3 linked regions of the Caenorhabditis elegans genome follow. The protein of the gene in region 3 purifies or fractionates together with the protein of the main gene of each other region. This does not show direct contact. Each region holds a gene or a part of one and is shown on either strand. Other genes may lie near its edges.

What was found. Proteins that work in one complex are often made in the same cells at the same time.
Region 1: the proteins of ech-5 (region 3) and txt-2 fractionate together in Caenorhabditis elegans (co-fractionation; one large-scale study listed by BioGRID). This does not show direct contact.
Region 2: the proteins of ech-5 (region 3) and T20G5.9 fractionate together in Caenorhabditis elegans (co-fractionation; one large-scale study listed by BioGRID). This does not show direct contact.

What each region holds. Positions count from the first base shown.
Region 1 is NC_003283.11:238,402-242,841, forward strand, and holds txt-2 (non-specific serine/threonine protein kinase), read right to left. Parts: upstream 2,100-4,440; 5' UTR 2,025-2,099; intron 1,961-2,024; 5' UTR 1,956-1,960; coding exon 1,478-1,955; intron 1,301-1,477; coding exon 1,087-1,300; intron 904-1,086; coding exon 700-903; intron 653-699; coding exon 562-652; 3' UTR 501-561; downstream 1-500. Other genes in the region: R02C2.7 (DUF4440 domain-containing protein), read right to left, coding at 3,031-3,254, 3,430-3,570, 4,147-4,165.
Region 2 is NC_003281.10:10,207,629-10,211,593, reverse strand, and holds T20G5.9 (Partner of Y14 and mago), read right to left. Parts: upstream 1,755-3,965; 5' UTR 1,747-1,754; coding exon 1,668-1,746; intron 1,611-1,667; coding exon 1,541-1,610; intron 1,018-1,540; coding exon 884-1,017; intron 825-883; coding exon 613-824; 3' UTR 501-612; downstream 1-500. Other genes in the region: blos-1 (Biogenesis of lysosome-related organelles complex 1 subunit 1), read left to right, coding at 136-350, 398-450; chc-1 (putative clathrin heavy chain 1), read right to left, coding at 2,188-2,324, 2,373-2,951, 3,004-3,965.
Region 3 is NC_003282.8:793,421-801,804, reverse strand, and holds ech-5 (Enoyl-CoA hydratase, mitochondrial), read right to left. Parts: upstream 4,783-8,384; 5' UTR 4,782-4,782; coding exon 4,661-4,781; intron 4,616-4,660; coding exon 4,548-4,615; intron 4,502-4,547; coding exon 4,331-4,501; intron 4,248-4,330; coding exon 4,151-4,247; intron 2,892-4,150; coding exon 2,485-2,891; 3' UTR 1,885-2,484; downstream 1-1,884. Other genes in the region: mrpl-46 (Large ribosomal subunit protein mL46), read right to left, coding at 779-987; F56B3.11 (Mitochondrial import inner membrane translocase subunit Tim21), read left to right, coding at 5,243-5,298, 5,346-5,639, 5,696-5,987; skr-18 (Skp1-related protein), read left to right, coding at 6,399-6,442, 6,546-7,053; F56B3.4 (RNA polymerase II-associated protein 1 N-terminal domain-containing protein), read left to right, coding at 7,532-8,362.

The DNA of each region.
Region 1 (4,440 bases), on a different chromosome or scaffold from region 3:
ACAAAAGTTATAAATACTAAACGTCGCAAAAGTTTGACATCAAACTTTAAAAATTTTCCGACAAGTGGCAAAATCAAAAATTAAAAAAAAAAGGCCAAGAAGTTAAAAAAATTTGCCGAGAAATGGCAAAAGCTTGTCTAAAACTGCAAAAGTTTGCCGAAAAGCCGCAGAAGATCGCCAAGGGGTTACAAAAGTTCAACGCCTGCGAAAAATGCGACTAAAAAGTTACAAAAGTCTGACAGAAAGTTGTAAACGTCTACCAAAAAAATTTCAAAAGTTCCATGTCCGGTTGCAAAAGTTCTAGTTTGCAAAAAAAAAGAAGCCAAAATTTGAAGGAGTTACAATACAACCTGCAATTTGGCAACTGAATTGGGCAACCTGTTCACCCAACAAATAGGGTCAGGAGTAGCTGTAGCATATAACATTTCCAGGCGCATTTTATCGATTTATTTTGCACAAAATGAGCGTCGTCTAAGTATCGGGAAGAATAGGTCAAAAGATCCAACAGGGTAATGTTTTTATTGATTGAACACGCATTTATTCCTACGTATTATAAAAAAATTAAATAGAGACATTAAGATCTTTGAGTAGATTTTCAAAGTTCAAAATAGGCTTTGAAGACGTTTGTGATTCCTGACGGTACTGAGCTTGGCTGAAAATATTGCGACTTATTAATTGGATAAAATTTCACATTCTCACCTTCCGTTCTCCTTATTCTCAGCGTCCACCTCCTCACCATATATGAACCACGGATCTTCTTCAATCATACTAATAGTCGCTCTTAACTCAGCCTGGAGAAGGATTTTTCGAAGAAGGGATATCACTTGTTGGCTCATCCGGCTCCATGCTCCTTTTCTGCCATTTCTACGGAAACTGCAGTACCGGGATTGGAAAATGTCGAAGCTGAAATTTTTAAAAGCTCGAAAAATTTCTGGAAAAAAATTTAGGGCAGCTCGAATTTTTGCAAATATTTCTGGATTTTCTTTAAATTTTTGCAATTTTCAATTTTCTCTCCCCCAGCCCTGCCTAAGCCTGAGCCTAAGCCTACGCCTAAGACTGAGCCTAAGCCTAAGCCCACCAACTTACTGGTCAGCCTGCTCCCATGGCACAGCTCCAGCTATCATGGCGATGAGCACCACTCCAGCCGACCAAATATCCACTGCTGGACCGCGATAGTCTATTCCAGTTAATACTTCAGGTGCAATGTACGGTGGGGATCCACAATACGCGTTCAGCATCTGTTCTGCTCCATTGAAACGGTGCATAGTTGCGAAGCCAAAATCCGCGATTTTTAGAATGCCTGAAAATTTTCAAAGGTCTCAGCAGTAGGCAGTCTCATTGCCTACATGCCTATGTGCCTGCCTACTGCCTGCATTTTGACGTAGCAAATGCATCTTATCTGCTGACCAATCAGCGAGCACGTTCTTTGATTGCTTGGTAGGCAAGGCTGATTGATGATTGGTTAAAAAAGACTAACCTGACTTGGTAAGGAGCAAGTTCTCTGGCTTGATGTCCCGATGAGTCACACCTTCCTCATGAATAAATCTGAGCCCATCAATTAGCTGTTTGAAATATCGATGAGCTTCATCTGAGCCCAGTCCTCCGTGTTGGTTAATTTTTTCAAAAAGGTCTCCCCCATCAGCATAGCTCAAAATCAACTGATAGTTTTCTGGATTTGTACGAATTTCGAAGAGATGGATCATATTTAAATGCCGACTTTTAGAGAGACGCTTCTGTATGGAGCACTCTCTTTTGATGCTCTCCATGAAGCACTCATCTTTCCCAACTATGGAAATTTCCTTCATTGCAAACATCTTATTAGGTGTGCCGACCTTTGCGACGAGGACAACCTCCGCAAAGGATCCTTCTCCAAGGTTCTCAATGAATTCGTAGGAATCTTTTGATTTCTTCTTGGTAGATAAAAATTGTTTGCAGGTGGACATGTTGGAAGTCATTTATTCTGAAACTTGGAACATAAATAAAGAAAAACAACGAAGACGGGGGAAAACAAGTGTGACGCATACCCAATGCATAGCAGGTGCAGATTATTTATCGACTGATGTTCTTGACAGAGGTGAACATTAATATGGCGTCATATGATGGCAGGCGGTGTATCGGGAAAAGTGGGGTCAACGATGTAATGAGAATCCATAAATAGTTGTAATAGGGCTGTAGGGTTAATGTGGATACGACAAAAGTACAGTAGGATTACGGTGGATTTGATGGGAGTACTGTAAAGTTACTGTCGCTATGGTAGGAGTACTGTAGGGTTACTGTGAATATGGCAGGAGTACTGTAGGGTTATTTCTGGATTTGTAAGAAGTACTGTAGGGTTACTGCGGATTTGGTAGAAGTACTATAGGGTTACTATTTATATTGCAGGAGTACTGTAGGATTACTGTGGGTTTGATAGGAGTACTGTAGGGTTCCTGTGAAATTGATAGGATTGCTTTAGGATTACCGTGGTTATGGCAGGAGTACTGTTAAGTTACTGTCGCTATGAGAAAAGTGCTGTAGGGTTACTGTGAATTTGGTAGAAGTACTGTAGGCTTATTGTGGGTATGGCTGGATTACTGTACCGACACTGTCAGTCTGGTAGGATTACTGTAGGGTTACTGTGGGCATGACAAAAACTGTTTGGCTACTGCGAATATGGCAAGAGTTCTGTTGGGTTACTGTGGAAATGACAGAAGTACTGCAGGGTTATTATTAATACGATAGGTAGCGTTTCTGTACGGTAGCATTACTGCAAATGTGACAGTACTGTAGGGCTACTGTTGATTTGACAAGAGTACTGTAGGGTTGCTATTAATACGAAAGGTGTACTGTAACGTTACTGCAAATGTGGAAGGAGTACTGTAGGGTTGCTGTGGATATTTTACTGTAACAGCTAGGTTTAAAATAGGACTGAAGACAACAAAACCTCTCTTTAAATGAATTTATTAAAAATGGTGTAATTTTCAATCATCAAAACTTGAAAATTCTTACTTCTAAATTTAATCTAAAAATTCAGAAAAATACAAAAAAAATCTATGGAGTAACTTCGTATTCTTCATGATAAACCAAGTGCTTATCCCCGTCCTTCTTCCAGATTTGCACGAACGTTCCCTTCATAGTTCCAGCTTTTTCCGTTTCACTGGAGAAATTCCCGCTGGTAATGAGATAGTCACCAGCTCCCTCATATTTTTGATTCGAGAATGAGCCAACGGATTTTCCGGTCGCTTCAGCGAATTTGGTGAATTCTGCTTTTAAGGCTGAAATTTTGATTGATTTTTAGTACTCTGGCTGTTGTTTTGTTTTTTAAGTTTTCGCTTGATTTTACTACTTTTCCTGTTTTCAGTTCAATTCAGAAATGAGAAGCAGACGCTAAAGACACGCAGGTCTCAGAGCAGGTCGCCTTTAAGGCAGGCAGGTATGTTTGCAACCCACCATCTTTTCCATACGTCGCTCCTTTCCCGTTTTGCACTATAACTCCATTTGGATGATAAAACGAGGCCACAGTATCCCAGTCTGCATTGTTTACCGCTTTACTATAGGCTTCAAATTGCGGTTTCAAGGCGGCTTCGGCATCTGGAAATGTGCGGGCTGTGAAAAGTTATAGTCTAAATTGATAAAAATGCGAAAAATTTTGCATTCACCAAATTTCTTATGAATATTCTTCTGTTTTGTATTTGCAGAAACTTTTCAAATGGATGAAATCCTTGAGAATAAAATCCTTGAGAAAACGAAAATAAGAAATTTATCAGCAGCCGACATCAATCGAGGCCGCTAAATTATTTATGTCGCTTATCAATTTTAGTAGAAAGGTGTTAAGTGAAAGTTCTCTAGGAAATTGAAAAATTAGCTGAAACGATGAGAAGTGCCCTAAAAGTGAAAAAAAACTTTGGCGGGAGATTCAAATTTTCTGAGAAAAACATCTTGGCGGGAAATTCAGAATTTTCTAGAATAACTGAAAAGTGTTAGAACTTTCTAGAGAAATCTGAAAACTTCTAGCACGTTTTTAAAGAAAAACTGGAAACTTTTAGAACTTTCTAAACAATTTAGAAAGTCCTCGAATTTTCTAGAAAAATTGAAAACTCATAAAAATTTCTAGAAAACCTGAACACCTGGTATATAACAGTTTTCAACACTAAACGAGACTCTCACCTCCAGCAGTATAGGACATCCTTTTCGAAACCACTCCAGAAAATCAAAAGTCCAAGAGGAAGAGTTTGTGCAATCTATCCCTCCTCCATCTCTTATATACCGGCACCATTGTGTATCACAAAAAGCACAAGGTACACTAGAGTCTCGTCAAAAATTTTGTTAAAACAATAATATCTGCTTCTCCGTAAAGCACATTTTTTGAAAGACACAAAACACACATCGAGTCAGGTGGGAGTTCACAATGGGAGGAACAGTTTGAAATTGGAAATTTCAAAAACGAAATTGGCACAGTAA
Region 2 (3,965 bases), on a different chromosome or scaffold from region 3:
AAAGTATATATATTTATTAAAAAATGAATAACACAGCAACAAAGTTTGAAAATACAGTACTCTTCTGTCGTCTCGAGACCTGATACCGTCTTTTTTGAGCAAACATCGCAAAATCGGTCAATAAATAAATTTCAGAGTCGCTCAAGCCTACGGAAACCAAAAACGCCTGGACGTTGAAGCGAAACGATTCGAAAACAATTCAGCAGCTCTTGCGAAACAAACTGAACAATGGCTTTTCATTACCGAAGGCCTAAATTATGCTCTCAAGGAAATTGGCGATGTCGAAAATTGGTCGAAAACGATTGAGAACGATATGAAGATTATCACGGAAACATTGCGCAGAGCCTATGGTTTGTTCTTTTGAAATTATCAAAATGTATTAATTTATTTTTTTCAGAAGCCAAAAACCCTCCACTTCCACCAAATCAAGCAAACCCTGCTAGCCATTAATCAATTCGTGTATTCTGTGTATTTTTGTACATTCCAACCGAAAAAAGACAAGTATCGAACCCGTTCATAAAATACAAAATATAAAATAAATAATTATCTGAAACTATCGCACATGAAATGAAACAGAGAGGTAGAATCTATATTTAATCGTTGCAATCTCCTTCACAACTTCTTCATTTCTAGCGTCAACTTTTCAATTTCATCCAAATACTCCTGCTTTCGTGCGATCTTCTTCACTTGATTCGGTTGAGGAACAAGCTCCCCGCTAGCGATTCTCGATTCCATTCCTTCAATATCCTCAATCTTCTTTTTCGTCAAATCGATTTTCTTTTGGAAATGATCCTGTGGTGTGATGCATACGTTAGCTTTGATGGCTGAAAAAATGGAGAAAATATTATACAAATATGTATAATTTATTATATTTAAGACTCACCACTGACAGGCTTACGGGATGAACCAGAAGCCATTGCACGTGGATTCACTCCTGCTGGAACAGAACTTCGGCCGTTTGTCGCTTCCAGCTGCATTTTATTTTGATATTTTGGTTGTTCATCTTGAGGAATATATCTGAAATTTGTATTTTTATGTACTTGAAAGGCGTACTTAAAGGCGCACAGATTTTGGGTCTCGCCGCGAGAAAAATTAATTTTTTTACAGTGTCCTTTTTTCCCCGAAAATTAATTTTTTTTGATCTTTGTTAAGATTTCTATGAAATACAACTAAAAAAGCGGAGAAAAGATCTTGAAAGTTGCGACGCGGATTTATGCATGTCGATTTACGAGAAATCTTGTACTACACGTGGACAAGTGGCAATTTCGCATTGTTTTACAGATTTGGCTTCAATTGTACAATCTTTTTAATTCAAAATAATTAAATTAGGAATAATTTAACGAACAACACAACGGTAAAATATACAACTTTTTGTGAGAAAATTATGAAATTCCCCGGAAAAACTACGATATTTCTTTCAAAATTTCGCCTAAAAATCAGCAAAAACAGCCGAAAAATCGAAATTTCTGTCACGTCTAGTACAAAATTCTTCGTAAATCGACAAGCGGTATTATATTCCCAGTATCGCCAGATTACTGACCCTCCTTTCACTCGTCTCGCTTTTCTCCAAGTTCCGTCGGCTCTTTGTGTTGCTGTGATGAATGTTTCACCTTCAAAATAATTAAATTTATACAAAACTTCGCGGTGGAATTTTTTAATCTACGAACCATTTTCAGTCTCAACACGTAGATCACCACCTTCACTACACGATGGCTTCGTCTTCGCGGCGGCGGGCTTAGTAGACATTATACGGCCTGAAAATGGCTTATTCTAGATCTCAATTTAAAAAATTCAGCTAGTGAATAATACAAAAAGTTAAAATCGTAAAACTAAAATGTTATGATGATGGACTGAACCAGTATTTCATCCGAAACTCGAACGCGATTGGTAACAACGAATTAATTTATTCATGATGGTTCTGGTGGTTTAAAAGAGTTGTGATCAACTTTTTTTTGAAAACGGGCAGAACTGAGAGAGACGACACATCGGACCAACAACCTTAAGGATAAGTTCACGGATTAGAATACAACCATCACAATTTCATAGGGGACGGAATAAATAGAAATAGAATATCATAATTTAAACAAAAAAAGTGTATAGACATCAAGCAATAAATTACAATATAATTATTGATGCGGGGAGAAAGTGAGGGGGTGGGGGTAAGAAAATGGGGATAAAACTATCGAATTACATAAATCCAGGGGCATTATATCCTGGTTGTCCAGGTTGACCGTAAGCAGGCTGTCCGCCATAGCCACCAGTTGTTCCTGGATAAGTCATTTGTGGGGCAGGGGCACCATAGGTAAGCATAAGTTGTGGTTCCACTGAAAATATCAAATAAATTTAAATTCTAAATATTTGTTAAAACTCACTGGTCATTCCATTGTTTTGTTGCTGCTCAGCCTTCTCCTCTTTCCTCTCATGCTCAGAACGCTCCAACTTCTCAAGTCTCGTCTGATAATCTCTCATAACTTGGATCATGTAAGGCATGGCGTAATCCATAATCTTATGCTTCCAAGCGAGCTCCATGATGACATCGGGGTGAAGGAGATCATAACAATGGTAAAGGGAGGCGGCAAAACAATCATAAAGTTTCTCATCCAGGAAGAATGACAAGAGCTCTTCGGCGAGTTCTCCGTTTCTCGATTCTGCAGCGTATTCCATGGCATCCTTGTACAGCTTGTCTTTTTTGCAAAGCTCGATCGATTGCTTCCATCTGTTGTTTCCCTTGAACAAGTATGCGGAAATTCTTCTGAATTCCACAAGTGGGTGCTTCTCAAGTTGTTGGGCCAAAGTGATATTGTCAAAGTTGTCTTGAGCCTCAATAGAAGAACGAAGCCCGGCGTGATCCTCCTCATCAATGAGCAACTGATTCAAAGCCTCGTTGATAGCCTTGTTGTTCAAGTTTTGAACTTGTCTCAAGTAAGGCTTGACCAGTGGGATTTGCTTCACTGAAAATTATTGTTATTAAAAGTTTAAAAACTAAACGAAATTTAAACTTACGCTTATTGAAGAACAAAACTGTGCGCGAATGATCCAACCGAGGCGATAGCACAGTAAGAAGGTCATTCAGGAGAAGTGGCTTATAATCCAGGTAGAACTGCATTGCTTTGTAGTATAGCTCAACATTAGCGACTTTAGCGATGACTTCCTTGAAATGTTGCTCTCTCCAAGATTCAGTTGGATGCTGCATCATTGTCAGTGCGGCGTTATCATATTCTTCGTATTTATCGTACAAGAACACCAACTCGGACCAAAGATGAGCCTGCTCGGCAGCACGAAGAACTTTTGGAATATTAACACGGCTCCAGAACAATTCCAAATGCTCACGCATCTTCTCTGGCTTATACTTCGAGTACAAAATCGCGAGTTCGGTGAACATTCCCATGTGAGCCCGTTCAAGACCCAATGCAGCTTCGAGAAGAGCAATGAGCTCTTCGAAATGTCCACGATCTTGGTAGAAGTTGATCAATTCCTCAAGCTCATCAGCGTGGACAACGATGTGAAGTCCACACATCTGGGCAAGCCGGAACTCTCCATTCTCGACACAAGAGAAGCACACTTGTTTCCATGTCTTCGTGCTGTTGGCTTTGCGTGCAGCATCGACAGCTCCTTGATATTCTCCAAGACGAACAAGAGTAACGGAAAGTTTGGCGAAGTTGGAAACATTGTTGAAAAGGATCTTAGCGGAATCGAACATTCCATTGTCAAAGCAACGATCTCCAATTTGTCCGATTTGAGCGTGATTTGGTCCAGCGATAAACTCTTCAAGTTCAGTGAGACGACCAGTCTTGGCCAGAGCAAAAACGAGTTCCGTTTCGATGTATGACTCACGACTCTTCTTGCGAGCCATTTGAAGGTAACGAACAAGATCTTCCCAGTGCTCCGTTTGAGAACATTTGTTCACAACCTCCATGTACGCTCCTGGATCATCGGCCTTGATAAACGAATCGACAGCCTCCTTC
Region 3 (8,384 bases):
ATTGACTGAAAATCCGGTTTTTTGAGGTTTTTACAGTCAAAAAAACCGGTTTTTCACAAAAAAAATTAAATTTTCAACGTTTTTGTATAAAAAGGCATTTTGCTGAGAAAAATGTGGATTTTTGAGCTTAAAATTTTTTTTTGTCAAAATTTTTAAATTTTTTGGAAAAATATTCATTTTTCGTAATTTTTATCATTTTTTTTCGAATTGAAAACTTGAATTTCACGCTAAACAACAACATTTTGGCGGGAATTTGAATTTTCAACAAAAAAAAATCAATTTTTTTTCAATATTTTGATGAAAAATTCTAAAATTTTGAGATTTTACCGGAAAAAAATAGAAATTACCAATAAAAGTCACACATTTTTAGTTAAAATTCGACAAAAAATTCAAATTCCCGCAAGATCTCCTCAGCGATAAACAACACGCCGCGGAATACCGGAGTGTCGTTTGAAACTCAAAATCACGGCGCGGGAAATTTGATTTTTTCGCGTTTTACGATTGATTTTGCGTCGAAAATGGCAATTTTCACCCAAATTTTACAGAAAAGTCCAGAAAATGTGACTTTTATGGAAATTTTCAGAATTTTCAGCAAAAAATTGCTAATTTTCGCGTTTTTTAAACGAAAATTGCTCAAAAAAAGGTGCTTTCACATTTTTCGCTTATTTTTTAAAGAAAAAATATCAAATTTTTTATTTTTTTAATCGAAAAAAATCTGAAATTCGCAGAAAAATCGAGATTTTTTTGCTCAAAATTTCCAAATAATCCTGCTCCATACTTCTCATCCTGTTTCGTTTTGAGCTCATAATTACACATTAGGCTCTTTTCTTGCTCTTCAGCCATTTGAAGTCGATGAAATCTTGATTCGACTTCCGACATTGGTGGAGCTACGACAGGAGCTCTCGACAACACAACTGACGCGAAAATTTCCCATTTTTGAGGTGAAGCCGACGCCGCTGAAAGTCGACGGAGAACAGATAGATGCATCTGAAACTTGGGCTTTGTTGGATTTGGCTCATCGAGAGCTTCATAATGAGTATAATCACGACCTAGTTTGTTCGAAATTGAAAAAAGTTGGGTCTCGCCACGAAAACTGCTGTAATTTTCGTGGCGAGACCCATTTTCTTCGAAATTGAACCAACTAGGTCATGATTATACTTATATTGAAGCTCTCGGCAAGCAGATTTTAAATTTCATGAGTGAATTCTCAAAAAATTGGAAAAATGCATTGTTCATTCAATTTTCAACTGGAAAAATGCCAAATTTACTAGAACTTCTTAGATTTTCGATTTTTTTTTCGTAAAATTTGGCTGAAAATCGGTTTCAGCTCAGCGAGAGCTTTAAAATAAGTATAATCAAGACCCACTTTGCTCTGAGTTGGGTCTCGTCACGAAAACCACCGGGTTACTGTAGTTTTCGTGGAGGGACCTGATTTTGTTCAAATTCCAGCAAAGTAGGCCATGATTATACTTAAATCAAAGCTCTCAGGGAGCCGGAGCTGAAAAAAAGCTGAAAATAACAAAAAAATATTGAATTTCCCAAAAAAATACTGTTATTTATGGAAATACTTTTTTTTTTGGAAATAAAATTCAAAATTTGAGTTATTTTCAGCTTTTTCCAGCTCCAGCTCACTGAGAGCTTTAAAATAAGTATAATCATGGCCTACTTTGCTGGAAATTACAAAAAAATTGGGTCTCGCCACGAAACCCCTCGGGATTACTGTAGTTTTCGTGGCGGGACCCAACGTTTCGTTCAAATTTTAGCAAAATAGGTCATGATTATAGTCAAATTGAAGCTCTCGTTGAGCTGGATCTGAAAATAAGCATTAAAAGGTAAAAAATTCGGCAAAAACCGAAAAAAAAACACACAAAAATTTGGGAAAAATGCGATAAAAACTTTATTAAAAACCGGTGTAAAATTACACATTGAAAAAGCTCAAAAAATCCTGAAATTAAAATAAATAATAGCGACACATCTAGAAATACAATTATTCGAGAAAGTATAGGAAAAATGGGAGAAATTGAGAGAAAAATCGGGAAAATCGATGAAAAGTTGAAAATTTCTGCAAAAATTTTTAAAAAATTGTGCAATTTTTGACATTTTTGCATCAAAAAATCACGTTTTTTTTTTGTAAAATTCAGCATTTTTGCGCAAAAATGCGCTTAAAAATCGTTAAAAACTCCGAAATCTCTTGAAAAATCAAGTTTCACACAGTTTTTGAATTTTTTTTTCACAAATTTTCATCAAAATGTGTTCAAAATATTTCTGAAAAGTCGATTTTTAAATCAAAAATCGCAGAAAATTTGTGAAAAATTCAAGTTTTTCGAGAATTACGATTTTTCACTAATTTTTTTTTCTGAATTTCGGGCCGAAATTGCCAGAAATCCAAAAATCCAAGAAAATTCAATTTTCACTCGTTTTTCGTCGAATTTTCGCGATTTTTCACTCAATGTCCCGCCGAATTTCTCCCTTTTCTCCCAAAATTTATTCGCCCTTATAAATAGGATCTCTCTTCTCAGCAAAAGCCGCCATTCCCTCTAATCGATCTTTTGAATGTACAATTTGTGCATAACATTGTTGCTCAACACTCAAAGCACTGGTAATATCAGTCTGAGAGCCCAAATTAATTGCCAATTTGGCCAATTTCACAGCAATCGGGCCTCTTGGAATGATTTTTCGTGCGATTTCCAGTGATTTTTCGATTGGATTGGCTTCAACGACGTGATTAACGACTCCAAGCTTGGCAGCATCGGCTCCGTTGAGCACTTCAGCTGTGTAGATGAGCTCTTTGGCTTTTGCGACTCCGACAATACGGTAGAGACGTTGAGAACCTCCGGCGCCGGGAATTAGAGCCCATTTTGTTTCGACTAGGCCCATTTTGGCTTTTTGAGCTGAAAAAATGGATAAATTTAGAGCAAAACTTAGGTTTTTTTACTCAACATGAAGATTTTTTGAAATTTTTGCCTGAAAAAAAGGATTTCTAAGTCAAAAAATGGAAAATTTCACGATTTTTGAGCTGAAAAATTAAAATTTTCGTATTTTTTGTGTTGAAAAAATGCAATTTTCTATGAAACGAAAATGAGTTTTTTACTCAAAATAGACCCATTTTGGCTTTTTGAGCTGGAAAAAATGGGAAAATTGGAGCAAAACTTTGGTTTTTTGACTCAAAATGGAGATTTTCAAGTATTTTTTACTTAAAAATTGGATTTTTAAGTCAAAAAATGGCAATTTTCACGATTTTTGTGATGAAAAACCGAAATTTTCGTAGTTTTTGGGAAAAAAGGTAAATTTCTATGAAAAGCTAAAACTAAAAAATTCGAATTTTTACGTTTTTTAACATGAAAATTAGGGCAAAAATGAGTTTTTCACTCAATATAGACTTATTTTGGCTTTTTGTGCTGAAAAAATGGGAAAATTAATGCAAAATCGAAGAAAAATAAGTTTTGAGCTGAAAAATCCTAATTTTTACGTTTTTTACATGAAAATTAGAGCATTTTGCGCAAAAAATGCAGGTTTTTAGGCATTTTTGCGCAAAAATTGAGAAATGAGAGAAAAAAGAGTTTTTTACTTAAAAATAATTGAAAGTTTTAGATTCTTATGCTTTTTTTTTGCTGAAAATGGAGTCAAAATGGTTCAAATTTTTCAGATTTTTAGGCTAAAAATTGGGAATTTTCGGAATAAAATTCTTTTTTTTTTGTCTTTTGCGCTGAAAAAATGGGGAAATTAATGCAAAACTGAAAAAAAAAGTTTCGAGCTGAAAAGTTTTACGCTTTTTCTACATGAAAATTAAGTTTTTCGGCATTTTTTGGTTGAAAATTGGATTTTCCAGCAGAAAAAATGGGAAAATTAGAGCAAAAATGAGGTTCTTTGACCCAAATTGGTGGAAATTTTGAGATTTTTGCTGAGTTGTTGAGCATTTTCTGCTGAAAAGGATCTTTTAAGAAGCTTTTAAGAGCATTTTTGCCGAAAATAGAAGTTTCACGTTAAAACTTGTAATTTTTGAATTAAAATTGAATTTTTAGACAAAATTTGGCATTTTACAAGTGGAAAAGTCAGGAAATTACGTATTTTCTCGAATTTTGAACTAAATTTGACGTTTTCAAAAATTTTTTTTTTTAGTGTTTCCCCAGGGAAAATTATTTTCACTAACAAGCAACACGAATATCACAAGCCAGTGCCAACTCCAATCCACCTCCCAGTGCAAATCCGTCGATTGCGGCGATAACTGGCTGTGGAAGGCGTTCTACCTGAAAATTTCGACGTTTTCAGGGGAAAAAACCGCAAATTTCTCGATTTTTTGACTGAAAATCGATTAATTCAAGTTATTTACATCAGTAAACGAGTCACGGAGCCCATTGACAAATCTGGTGGCCTCCTGCTGGCTCATAGTCTTGCGTTCTTTCAAATCCGCACCACTACAGAACACATTATCGCATTTCGAGTTGAGAATCACCACACGTGTCTTTGGATCGTACTTGAGCTCGTCGAGCACCTCACGGAACTGGAAATGTAATTTTTTGCGGCAAAACTCTGCGAAAACTGCCTACCTGGTCCATAAAAACTCGTCCCAAGGAGTTTTTCTTCGCCGGACGGTTCATGTTGAGAATTGTGATTCCTGGAAGCAAAATTTTTAATAAAAATTATCAAAAAGGCTGCGCACCTTCATCTTTTCCAGTCAATCTTTCGATGAAAACCTCGTTAGCCGGGTTTGTGGTGGTGCTGTAGGCCAGTGGGTGAAAGGCGAAGGCACGGAGGTTGAGAAGAATCTTTTGAGACAACATTCTGCAAAAAAATCATTAAAAAAATTGTGAAAATTCGACAAGAAATAGTGGAAAAATGGTTAAAAACGCGCAAAAATTCATTAAATAAATGTTTGTCCGAGAGGAGTATGTGTAGATAGAGCGCGTTTGCATTACGATGCAAAAAATTTTATTAGAAAGAAATCTGCGAGATTTTCCAAGATGATTTCAGTAAAATTTTGTTTAAAATGTGGATTTAAATCAATTTATCAAAATAAAATTTAATATAAAAATAGGCGACTTGGAAATACTTTTATTTTCACTTCTAAGCTGCAGGAAAAACTATAGACTTGCATTCTCCAATTTTCAGTTTCCCTGGCATTCTGTGGTGTCTCTTTGGAATATTTCCTATTTTTAAAATTATTTTTTTCTCAAAATCAGTTTTTTTCCGTTTTTCTTAATTTTTCCTTTAAATTTTTTCAAATTTTTTGACTTTTCAGGTAATGACACCGCTCAGCAAACTTTGTGCAGGTGCAGTCACGCAAAATGTGCTGAAAAGGTAACTTTTCGGCAATTTTTAGAGAAAAATAATGAAAAATCTTCCAGCTACTTCCTAACACCATCCCAATTTCGCAGCTTCTCCCGAACGATCACAGCACTTGAAAAATCACAGAAATCACCCTCAAAACAGGAACATGCGCTCCAGAGATCGATTTTGGAGGAAGTTTTGGTGCATGAGAAGGCGAAACCGACGACATTTGGCGGAAAAGTCGCTGAAAAGGCGTCGAACACGTTTATGTACACGGCAGTTGTCGCTGGAATCGGTCTAATTGGTGCATTTATCTATGTGCTCGCCGGGGAATTTTTCGCTCAAGATTCCCCGCAGACAATTTTCAATAAGTTGGTTTTTCACTTTTTTCCGGGAAAAACCAATTTAAATCAAATATTTTTTGCAGAGCTCTCGCATTGGTACGTGATGATGGCCGTTGTCAGGAAATATTCGGCGCCTCAATCGCCGGATTCGGCGAGGAAACGTCACGTGGACGCCGCCGCCACGTGGCACATCACAAGTACGAGAAGGACGGAATGCAGCGGATTCGGGTGCTTTTCCACGTGAAAGGAGACCGAGATGAGGGAATTGCTCAAGCTGAAATGGAGCAACGAGACGGAGATTGGCAGTGGCGGTTCTTGTATGTGGAGAACAAGCGGCGACCGAAAACTACCCATGTTTTGATTGATAATCGATAATTTCTTGTTTTCTGGTGATTGTTATGTTTAAATAGGGTTTTTTGTTGAATAAATTGCATCTAGATTTATTATTTTGTTAAAAAAAATAGCTTAAACATCGATTTTTATTCGAAAATTACTTTTTTTTCAAAAAAAATCTGGAAAGTGTGCAATCTGACGTGATGGTGTGTCTGCGTACCCGGCGCCAAACTTGACGCACAAACTTTCGAAATATTTTTTTTTTCGATTTTAAAAACGTTTTTAGCGAAAAAGCGATAAAAACAGGATTTCTTAAGCAATTTTCGGGAAATTTACCAATTTTGATTGCTGAAATATCGATTTTCAATCGAAAATTTTCGAATTTTCACACAAAAACTTTAAAAAAACCTATATTTTGTGTATTTCAGACATCAAATTTGGGCCAGAAAGCAGATGCCGAAGAACAAGAAAAACAATAAAAAACGTGCACCAGCCAGGTATTTTGATAGCATTTTTCCCAATTTTCATTGAAAAATCATTAAAAATTTTTTATTTTTCAGCAATTTTTTCTCAAAAAATCAGAAATCGCGCTTTTTTTAGTGCTCCAAAGCCGGCTCCTCCAAGCGCACCACCTCGCCTACTTCAACTGGCTTCTTCCAATGGAGAGGTGCTGCAGGCAGATATCCGTGCTCTCCAGCTCTCCAGCACTATTTCTACAACTATCAAAGAGCTAGGATATGATAAAGAAGACTGTGCGGAGATTAAGCCGATACCTGTTGATGAACATGAATACACATTGGATCTACTGATTAAATGGTGTGATCAACACAAGGGAGACGATCCAGAGATTGCAAAAGCCGAAAAAGGCAAAAAGAAAGTCGTCATTCCGTCCTGGGATCAACATTTTTTCAGTGTACTGCCGATGGGAAACTTGCTAGCTGTTATTAAAGCTGCCTATGATTTGGATATTACCGGACTCGTGAATTATGGAACCCAAACAGTCGCCAGTCGTATCAATGGGAAAAGCGCCGAGGAAATGCGAGAAATTTTCCAACTTCCTGAGCCGTGCCAGCAGCCGTCTACATCCACTGATACTTGGGCAGATTGATCGATTTTCCATTTCAAATTTATTCAATTTCACATAAAGCCGGTCTTATTGCAAAAGATTTTTTTCTATTTAGTGCTGTATATCGTTAAAATTTCATTGCGTCAATAAAAGTTCTATTTTAAAATATTCTTCAGCTCATACTAAGTCCGATCCAGTGTTTCGGTGTTATTTTTGAATTTTTTTTTATCGAAAAATCGTTGAGATTTAGATTTTCCAGTAATTTTACGTTAGAATCGTGAAAACTTCCAATTTTTATAGACATGATAGCGATTTTTAATCGAAAATTCCCCATTTTTGAAGAATTCTTTCTCAAAATGTGCAATCTGACGTGATGGTGTGTCTGCGTACCCGGCGACAGACTTGACGCGCAAACTTTTGAAATATCAGGTTTTTTACCGATTGTAATGGAAAAATCGATAAAAACGGGTGTTTTTCAGCATTTTTTCGTAAGAAATCGATAAAATTTAGATTTTCAGAAATGTCAGAACACGTAAAACGTCCTACGGCGACGGAAACCGACGATGATCTGCTCAAAATGCAGGAAGAATGGGAGGCGGCGAACAAAAAACCGAGTGTCGAGATTCATAAGATGAAAAATCGGCAGAAAGTCGAGGAAGTTGCTTCATTGCCGTCGAAAGTCGTCCGCGATCAGGCCGCCCGTTTTCAAATCGATTTTGATGAGGAGCAGGCCGCTTCCGGCGTGCTTTTCCCAGTTAAAGAGCGAAATTTCGCGGAAAGATCGGAGATTTTGGCGGAAAATCTTCAGAAATTCCAATTATACTCGAAAGATGACGGATTCCCCGAGCCGCTGGATCTTTCTGCGTATTTTTCGGCGGAAAATCCAAAAACTCTGACGAATTTAGGCGGAAAGAGCTTTTTCGCCGCGGAATTCGACCGGATCAATGGAAATTTGGCGGAAAATCTGGATTTTAAGCAGGAAACCACTGAAAATCCATCGGGAAGTGACGATTTTCAAGCTGAAAACGAGAAATATTTGAAATCTCTGGATTTTGAGAAAATTCAAGAAATGAAGCTGGAAATTACCGAGAGATTCGATCCGAAATTGCTGGAATTTTTGAAAAATCGAGGAAATAAAGCCTCGGAGGAAACTCAAAAAAAGCCCAAAAAAATCAGCAAATTCAAGGCTTCTCGGCAGCAAAAAGAGCCGGAAAATGAGCAAAAAGGTGCTCCGGAGCCACCGGCTCAAGCTCCGCCTACAAAAGTTGTGGAGGAAATGATGAATGAGTTGGAAGTTTTGGAAGAATATGGAAATCGAGAGGATCAGGAGAAATATAATCGACTGGCGACGGTAAAATTTGAAAATTATCGAT